Schizosaccharomyces pombe: one gene and its partner. The protein of the gene in region 1 interacts with the protein of each later gene in a pairwise test. Each region holds a gene or a part of one and is shown on either strand. Other genes may lie near its edges.

Evidence for each region.
Region 2: the proteins of hem13 (region 1) and SPOM_SPBC115.03 interact in a two-hybrid assay, tested with the Schizosaccharomyces pombe proteins (one large-scale study listed by BioGRID).

The regions. Positions count from the first base shown.
Region 1 is NC_003424.3:963,401-968,466, forward strand, and holds hem13 (coproporphyrinogen III oxidase), read left to right. Parts: upstream 1-2,735; 5' UTR 2,736-3,029; coding exon 3,030-3,968; 3' UTR 3,969-4,191; downstream 4,192-5,066. Other genes in the region: two-component GAP Byr4, read right to left, coding at 1-1,034; SPOM_SPAC222.17 (uncharacterized protein), read right to left, coding at 4,465-4,558, 4,630-4,805.
Region 2 is NC_003423.3:632,500-637,793, reverse strand, and holds SPOM_SPBC115.03 (gfo/idh/mocA family oxidoreductase), read left to right. Parts: upstream 1-1,909; 5' UTR 1,910-2,060; exon of another isoform or gene 2,061-2,098; intron 2,099-2,229; exon of another isoform or gene 2,230-2,249; 5' UTR 2,250-2,343; coding exon 2,344-3,450; 3' UTR 3,451-4,070; downstream 4,071-5,294. Other genes in the region: AFG1 family ATPase, read right to left, coding at 1-140; FKBP-type peptidyl-prolyl cis-trans isomerase Fkh1, read left to right, coding at 5,152-5,178.

The sequences.
Region 1 (5,066 bases):
ATCTTCAAATTCGAGGGAGTCCATGTGGAGCTTATAGAAGAATTTCCCTTCACGGGAGAAGAATGTTTACTCGAAGCCTTCAACGTTTCTGGATAATGAGAAGACGTATCCCTTTTCGAAAGTGTTTTCGAAGAATACTTTAGGTTTGGGTTATCAGAATGAGGGTTTTCATTAGCGAGTGAAGGAAATATGTCTTTACAAAGGGGATAATATTTTGCATCCTGATGCACATTAGGTTGATAAGAAATTGTGGAGGAAATATAAGGATGCTTTTGGTTGATGGTATTTGGAGATCGAATCTTTTTCCGAAAGATCGATTCTGTTTCGTTATTAAAGTCAATATCAAAATCATCCCAAAAGCCGTCGTCATTATGCGCAGAGGAAGGCGTACGAAGCGAAGACTGTTCTACGCTGGAAAAGGAAGCTTTTGGATCCATCCTATTTTGTTTTCTGTGCAAAATACTGTTTAGGTCGGTATCTGGGTCTATTTCAAAATCATCTTCAAATGAAGAAAAGCCTTCCGATTCACAATAAGGGGAGTCCGAAACACTGGGATACCGAGCATCATTTTCACTTGAAAGATATGTTTTCTTAAGAGTATCACTAGAGAATGGAATTGGAGGTCTTTGAGAAGCAGTTTCAGATGCTCTAATAGTATTGAATTCATCAACATCGGCATCTTGGTATTTATTGGGACGAAGTGTATTAAACTCATTATTACCTTCTTCACCTTCTTCATCGAACGAAAAATCATCTTCATAGCCTTCTACATTGGAAGAAATTCGGTTCTTGTTGGAAGACAGTTCATGGTTTAAATTATGTACTTGTTGATTCCATTGTTCGACACGAGAATGAGCGCTTGGTACATCAGAAATTGAAAGGCTATTAAGACGACTAATAGAGTCGTCAAACGAGAACCCATCATCCACACTCGTACTAGCACTAGTGGTAGCTATGGATTGAGTAAATAGGCTAGCATTATCGACGTCGGAAGCAAAATCAGGATCATCGTCCCAGCATTCAACTTCAGTCATTCAATCAAAATAAACGTATACTAAAACGGCTTTGCTAAGAAAAGAAATTGGATGCAAAACGCATAGAATGATTACTAACCGTATTCACCCAAAACTGAAAACCCTAAATTTGATTTTCAAAGAAAAAGAAAGTGAGAGAGAAAAAGGATGGTCACTAATTTTGCAAAGAAGTAACCACTGTAAATATTTACGCTTTCAAACCCAGCTTCGAGAAGTAATAAGTTATGAACAGCAATTCAAAAGGACTTCAGGAATATGATTATGATGATGCTTTCAGAGATACAATGAAATTTTGTTTTGTATAGAAAGCAAAAAAAAGAATTTAACTTATTTCAATGACAAAATCAAGGAATCTGGGTTAGCGGTATATTGTTGAAAGAGACGGAGGTTGAGCTAGAGGTATAAGTGTAAACACCAACTTGATCAATTTACGTACTTTGGTTTCAGTACTTTACGAGAAATCAATTTTTAATAAGGTGAAAAATAAAGCATCTACTATTTGCTTGTGTAAACCTAAAAAAAAAATAGTTTTTTTTGGTATCTTTCAGTCATATTTATTTTTGCTAGATTAATCATAGTAAAATACTTAACCATATGTGATTGCCAAAATGCATAGCTGCACCTCACCTTAAAAAAATCTAGGTAATCTAATTAGCATGCAACTACGAGTTAATGTTTTTTAAAAAGTAGATAAATTACAACGAAGGTTAGTAGGTGAAGCAATAAATAGTATGTTTAATCGTCACTCGTATTAGCAAATTCATTCGTCTTAGAATTTTATTTTCCTCCACGAAAATATATATATTTTTCTTTGAACGTTTAAATTATTATAAACAATTGCTTTCTCTGAAATTTATGCCCATTTACAATTTAATTCTGTTTATGGAATCTACATATTCGTTCAAGTATATATGAAATACATTTTAAGGAATCTTTTTTTATTAGATTCTTCGTATAATTTCTAAAATACATACTATTTTCATATACGAGTTTAGATAAATTACAAAAAAAAAAAAAAAAAAAAACGATTAAACTATAGGTTAAAAAGTAAATCTATTAGTTTATAACAAAAGAAACGTCTTTGTTTTATTTTAGTTTATTTTTTTACATCTAAAAAGTTATTGAAATCAACAATGGTAAAGTTGAACAAATTAACTCTTCAATTCATAGGTATGAGAAACCGTTCTTCATTAGTAAATCCAAGTATGAAACATAATCATGTTTTTACCCCTATGCGATCGCGCTATTCATATTTTTCCTAAATTATTTTTAGCATCAATTCTGTCTATAGTTTCATATAATTTCAGTGATTTAATCATGTAATTATTCATGTAAAGTTCATAAAAAATATAGGTTGATGATCTTATTAATGTTTGTACTTAAGAAATGGTAAATCGAACAAGTTGAAAAAGTAAGCATGGCATCTGTCTTATACTCTTGTGCTTTTCTGTAAACCAAGCAGTTAAAAACATTATTGCTTGCTAGTAGCGAAGCAACTTACAAACATTTCTCATAGACGAGAAGTAACTCCATTTTTCAGATAGTCTAATAATAAGTCAAAGAAAAGGATGTTTAACATCATCCTAATCAAATTCATATAAAACTAATAATTGTTTTCCATCGAAGGAATCTATATATCGCACTACAAGGTGCAGTAACGAAACACTCAGATCGTGGAATCCGGATTGTGTTCTTAACCTTACGAGAAAAACGAGCCATTACGGTCGTGACTGTCCAGAAATCGTTCGATTTTTAAATATCTGAATTTAGTCTATTTTTTGATATAAATCCCCCTAATCCCATTCGCTGCTGGCACAGTGTTTTTGTGAAAACAAAACAACCAAGTTGTAAATTTAATTCGCAAGTTGAACAGTGTTTTGATTCTTCACTTGTGTTAATACCAATTCATCCAATCGGTTGTATCATATCTTAAATACCATTTTGGTTACTTTTTTTTTTGGACATTTTGAGCAAATCCGTAAAGTAAATAAAAAGATGTCTGACATTACCGTTGAGCCTATTGGCAAGCAGATGGAGAAGCTTATTCTCGATGTTCAGCAAGAAATTGTTGCTGGTCTCGAAGCTGTCGATGGACAAAAATTCTTCCAAGACAAGTGGACCAAGGGAGAAGGTGGTTATGGTATCAGTTGTGTTATTCAAGATGGCAACGTTTTTGAAAAGGGTGGTGTCAACACAAGTATTGTTCAAGGAAAATTGAATCAAGACGCTGTCCAAAGAATGCGTGCTAATCATGAAGGTATTGATCGTACTGCCAAAGAGCTTCCATTCTTTGCTGCTGGTATCAGTATGGTTATTCACCCTCGCAACCCCATGGCCCCTACTACTCACTTGAACTATCGTTACTTTGAACTTGTAAACAGTGATGGTAAGAAGATTTGGTGGTTTGGTGGTGGAGCCGATTTGACTCCTAGCATTCTCTTTGAAGAAGATGGCAAGCATTTCCACAAATTGCATAAAGAAGCTTGCGATCGCCATGACCCCACTTTCTATCCTCGCTTCAAGAAATGGGCTGATGAATACTTCCTCATCAAGCACAGAAAGGAGACTCGTGGCATTGGCGGTATTTTCTTTGATGATCTTTCTGAGAAAGATCCTCAAGAGTTATTTGCTTTCGTCAAGGATTGTGCCCATACCTTCCTTCCTGCCTATGTCCCTATTATGGAAAAGAGAAAGAACATGGAATTCACTGAAGATGATAAGGAATTCCAACTCATTCGTCGTGGATACTATGCCGAGTTTAACGTTATGTATGACAGAGGTACTTGGTTTGGTCTTCAAGCTCCTGAACCCCGTGTTGAATCTATTCTTATGACCCTTCCATTACATGCTTCCTGGCGTTACAAGTATGAGCCTAAACAAGAGCGTCACAAGGCTCTCCTTAAAGTAACGCATACCCCTATTGAATGGTGCTAGAAAGATTCACAAAAATGACTTTTACTTCAGCATTTAATGAACATCACAATTTTTGGTAATAGCTTTATTCTTTCGTTTGTTTTTAAACTATGCCATGTTACACTAACTCATGTTAAATTTTCTATCATGCCTTTTTTGCTCTTCATTATTTGGAATTCTTAACTGTTTGAATTTGCGATTTTGAATCCCTTTTCTAAGCTAATGAAACAATATTTTACCCTTTAAAAATCCGTATCTTTTATTGAGTAGTGTTTTATAAAGAGTTTTAAAGTAAAGTACAGTACCTATTTGGCTTGAGATCTAATTTCACAATATAAATTTCAACTGATCTGCACTTTCATTAACTTAATTTCAATGTATTTTTCTTTAAAATAATACGAATAAAAAAAAAGAAGATGAAGGTAAAATGTGTGTGTCTTGTCTTTATGATAAAACGACGTCGATCCCCAACGGATTGAGATAGACAAGTCATAAAACGTTAGCATCGGTACAAATTTTACAGTCGCTCTTTTCTTTCATTTGTATCTAATTCCCTTTTACACTCAAATACAGTGGGCCGATTGGGATCTGCTGATAAAGTGCAAATGAACCTGTTGGTTAATATCAAACTCACAGTAAGTGTATATAGGATAATAATCTAACAATCTCCCATCTTACGTACCCTAAAGATTGCATAGTAGCAAACAATTTTGTCTCCGCTGCAGCCAATTCAATGCAGGAGATATCCCCTGACTCCGTTTGTTGGCAAACTCGTTCAGTTTGATTGTTTAGACTTTCAAAGAAGACCTTCTGTTCTTTGGTTGAATCCTTCAAAAATTCTTGTACTTTTTCTTCCATTATGCTCTTTCAGAGGAAGATTCAGTCGTACTGCTATATCTAATAAGTTGAAGTCAGGCTAACGCTGTTTAAGAGCTGCATGTCATGAGTATTGCTGAGTAACTTTAACACGCTTGTAGACAGATATCAAAACTCACAAATGGCCCGTAGTTTAGCAACAACATCAAATGTTGTTCTGTTCTTACAATTTCTTACGATTTTGTTACTAACGTTGAGACTTTAGTCAATCATCAACTCGCTGTGCTTTTAAATTTGCTATCA
Region 2 (5,294 bases), on another chromosome or scaffold:
CCGTCATTAACTTTCTTGTTGTATACTTCAATAGGTGTATTATGAAATGTGGTAAAGCGAACTACCCTGCAAACTCCAATGCTTCCTATAGTATCAACAAAAGCAAAACAAGGAGCTGAAACACGAAGCACTTGCAGCATGATGATATGACCAAATTAAATACAAACTTTTGAACAAAAATAATGTTTCGTAAGCTAACTAAAGTAAAGAAAAAAAGTGGTTATTGATCAATTAGTGAATTCATTCAGGAATGATAAAGTGAGAGTGGATATAAAGCTGTAGAACGATTGTAGATGAAAAGCAAAAGATTAGAAAGAAAATATGTCAACTACAAGACGTACTTAGTGATTAAAGACATATGTTTTTAAGTGAATAAATATAAATCGTTGGACAGATGCATGATTATTCTTGCCTCTGAATAGCGTTCGGCAGTGCAGTTTGCTTTTATTATAGTGAATTGCGATGATTTCGGTATATGCGTTTGCGTATTGTCTTAATCATGAGCAAATGTTAATCTGAAACTAGTAAGTCAAGCCTATTTCGTTGGTAAATAGAAACCTGTTCTTAATAAAAAAATTTCTTGTTTAAAAAATTTTAAATTTAATGGAACTAAGTATAAGCAACTATACTTCCATACGATCCCAGATAGGTGGAGTTATTCTGTATATTAGTAAAAAAGTTAATCGCATGGAATTTCAATAATACATTGGAACTCATGTTATTAAAGTATTATTTATTTCTTTTCCATTTTTTGTATATTCAACAAACAATGGCAACTTTATTTTTTGTACTCAATTAAAAAGTACGAGAATAATATTAATTTGGTCAATATCAAGTATTGCTTCAGTTTGTTAATAAGTTTGACAATTGATGTTAAGTGATTTTAAGGAAATCCCGAAGAAAGAAGTTCGTATCGATAGTGAATTTAATTGGTGCTGTAGAGTATGTTTAGTTGAATTCCGTTCATTAGTTTCATAACTATTATTCCAGCAAAACGCAGATATTTATAAAACGCCTATATACGTATTTTTTGTGATTATTTGGTTTGGCTTATTAATATTTCTTATGTTTATTCTTATTTTATTTTATCTTTAGTAGACCACAAACAAATAAATGAATTATATATTAATATACTAGTGTTTACACACAGCTACTGCATGAAGTTATGATCTTGTATGTGTAACAAATGTTGTTAAATGATATATAAAAAAGGAGGGAAATTCTTAAAACGTGATAATAAGGAATACTGAAATGTTTGAGTTAAGAACTTTGAAAGCTTCTTAGTAGATAAAATAAGGCATATGTATTCGCTATTTTAGCATGTGAATTCATGAATGATATTTTAAATTTTCACTAATTACTTTAAAAAAAAGGGTAGTAAGTTGGCTCAGAAATATAAACTGATGCCATTAGCTTAAAAAAAAAAAAGAAAAAGAAAAACTATCTTCATACGCAGTAAAGGCCTTAAATTAATAAACTCTATAAAATTTTTAAGCTCATCTAAGCGAACACCATTCAAATAGTAAAACCGAAGTGAATTGTTAAGGCGATACTTTGTATTCTGAAAGAAGGCAGGCAATAAAGAATTTTAGAAGAAGCACTTAAACAGATACTTCAAATGTTTACTTCCTCAAAATTCCCATAAGTCATTACTTTGTTTGATCTTAGGCATCAACTACGCTAAAGCTCAATGTTATAAAAATATCTTTGAGTAGATGACTGTTTATCCCATAGTATGTACATTATTTGTTCGAAAATTCCCGTTTTTATAAGAGGAAATATTGGCATGATATTAATTACAAAGCAAAAGCTATGATAACTATGGTTAACAAGCTCAACCTAATGATCGTTATAGTGTTTAATATTTTAATGACATGCTAATAAGCGATCTTTGTTAGGTAATCGAGCTGTCGAAAACAAACTACTTTTAAATTTAGTTTATTTCATCCACTTTGACTCTGTAACCTTTTCCAGATTGATTAGCAAAAATCAGTTTTTTATTACTTGAATTTTTAATTGAAATCTTACTGCTTTCTTGTTATAATAAAAAAGCGTAACTGGTATGTCTAAAATCAAAGTTCGTAAAATAGACTGATTTCAAACATTTTCTTTCAAGTATTCACATGAATGCATTTTAGCATATGTTTAGCTAAATGATGATTATGTTTGATAAATGGATCCCTTCATTCGGTTAAAATTTTATAATTACCGATTATTAATATCTGATCATATGCTTACACTGTCGTTAGTAAAATTCTTCCTTTAGCGGTTCGATATTTTCTCGTATTAAAAAAATTTCTGTATTCTACAGCTTACAAATCATTACTTTGATTAAGTTAAACTATGCCTCCGATTAAGACTGCAGTGCTTGGAACTGGTGTGTCAGCTTTTGTTTTTCATTTCCCATTCCTTGAAGCTTTACCTTCAAAATTTGAAATTTATGCATGTTTAGAACGTAGGGCAACAGTTACACAATCCAAAGCACGCTCTGCATATCCCAATATTTTGGTTTATACAAACTTGGATGAATTATTAGCCGACGTCAATATTGAGTTGGTCGTAGTTTCCCTACCTCCCAATGTTCATTCTGAAATTGTAAAAAAAGCTTTGAACGCTGGTAAGCATGTGGTTTGTGAAAAGCCGTTTACTCCTACCTATGAGGAAGCCAAAGAGCTCTATGAACTTGCCGAATCAAAAAGCCTACTACTGGCAATTTATCAAAATCGTCGGTGGGATGGTGATTTTCTGACTGCTAAAAAAATAATAGAAAGCGGAAGACTTGGTCAAGTTGTTGAATTCGAATCTCACTTTGATCGATACCGTCTGGGTCGAAAATCTGGAAGTTGGAAAGATGAACCTAGACCCGGGAACGGAATGGTGTACGGGATAGGCTCACATTTAATTGATCAAGCAGTCTCCTTGTTTGGCACGCCTTACTCTGTTACTGCCAAGCTGGAAGCTCAACGTCAAATTCCTCCTTTGGAGGTGGAAGATTATTTTCGTATTATTCTTCATTACCCTGCTAAAGGAAACAAACTTCCAATCAACGTAATTCTGTCTTCTACTAATGTGTCATGCGGCTGTGAAATGCGATTCTGTATTAAGGGCACTCGTGGTTCTTTTATGAAATTTGGGTTTGACCCACAAGAGTCACAATTACATTCAGGAATGAAGCCTAACGATCATGGATTTGGAACTGATAGATTTGAGCTCTATGGAAACTTATGGACTGTTCCTTTGGATGCTGACGTGAAAGCTTTGCCTGAACCAACTAAAATTACGGTTCCTACTGTTCAGGGAAATTACCGGGACTTCTACGATGCGGTTTTTGAGGAAATCTTAAAAAAAGCTAACGAGTTTCCTATCAAATCTGATCAAGTTTTGGCAGTAGAAAAAATAATGGAGGCTGCATATAAAAGTTCTGAATCTTCTAGCTCGATCCAGTTGTAAAAGAATATTTACAATTTTATTAAATGAAGTAACCCTTCAGTGTGAAAATCCTTGCTTGTTTTTCTTTAAACTAAATGAGAAGTGATCTTAGAATTAAAATAGTGAATATTTGGTTTTAACAATTGCGTTATAACATCTCATAGCCATAATCAATGGTAATGAATTGCATGTTTTAGAAACCGTTTAAAGAATTTGAAATGGGATTACCAAAATCATATAATGTTCAAATGAAGGGAATATTGTTTTCATATTTAAAGCTCCTTTCCAATAAGTGGACGACCACTGGGACTGAACGTACAAAAGACAATAAAGTCATACTAGTGAAAAGATTCACTGTTGCTATTCTGTAATTATCTGTTTAAGCAGCATTAAAATTTTAATGCTCGTTTCATATGATATTGTTTGCGTATTAACGAAGTTTTCACAATTTCAACACTCTATTCTGACTATTGATTCTTCTTGTCGAGCTAAAAAAATTGGTAAATGCATTGATTTTCTATTTAGTATATAGGTATACCAAAACAATATGAAGTGAAATATGCTTTTCTTACAGACACCCAAACTATATTTGAGAGCTTTTTGATTAGGATACTGTATAATAAAGATTGAATCAAACAAACCATACTTTTACGAGAAGTATGATTTATGGTACTCGGTTATTGCCATTCTGTTCATCCTCCATGCTAATTTCACAGCATGTACTAAGTGTTTTCGGAAATAAAAGTAAATCTATCTTATAACTCTCTTACGATGAACAATTTATTTTTCGTTCTGACAATAAGTTTAACTGAAATTTAATTGAATGTCCCAGCCTTTCATTAACCACTAGATCGCCAGTTCAACTAAAAAAGATTTATAAAGTTATTTATTAGCTTTCATCAAAATCCGTTTCAATAAAATTAGAAAATATGCTTTAAATTGTGCGTTTACCCTCATTTGTTACATTAAGAGTCCATATATTTACTCAGTACTTAAGTTAAACAATTGTGCTGCTCATTCTATTCCATCGTATTATATAAAAATTTTATTATTGAGTGTCCGTAATTTACAATCCTATTTCTTTTGAATTTCGGGATGATTGATACGATTACAAGCAAATTATTAAATACTGCTATGAGAGCTACATGTGTCAAATAACTTACTGTTCGAATATATTCGGTGCGCCTTATTTTAATCTTTGTTTTTAAGAATACTTCTTTTTTCTATTTTCTCAATAAAGGTTTATAGTTCTTATTGTTTATTGAATAGTGATTATCAACGAAAAGTGGTAAACAAGCTTCAAACCAGCTACATAGCTCAGTATTTACTTAAGAAAACAGTAAACTGTGGTGTGTGCTTCGTTACAATATGCTGTTTTCTTATACGAATAAGACAAAGCAATTATTATTATACTACTTGAATGTAATAACTAATGTAAGTGCGACTAGAATAAAGTCAGATGGTGTATTTTGATATATTGTTAAACCCACTCTAAGAAGTTATAGTATGCAGAATGAATAATACTAGAGTACATGGTATAGCGATAAGTAAGGAATTTTCAGTTTACTAATCGGTAAACCGGATAGAGAAGTGCATAACGAGTTTACATCACAGAATGAAAGAATGCGGTAAACTGGGCAAGTTATTCCATATACATCTTCCATTACTACTTTCGGGTTTGCTCATTAACCAACCACTTATTTTATTTGAAATCTGTTAAATATGGGTGTCGAAAAGCAAGTTATTTCTGTAAGTGTTGAAAAAATCGGTAATTTCTTTTGAATCTACAAATATCTTCTCTGGTTATGTTTGTAAACAATTCATCCGTGTTAGTCGGTTCACCACTGATTTGCATTTCCTTAATT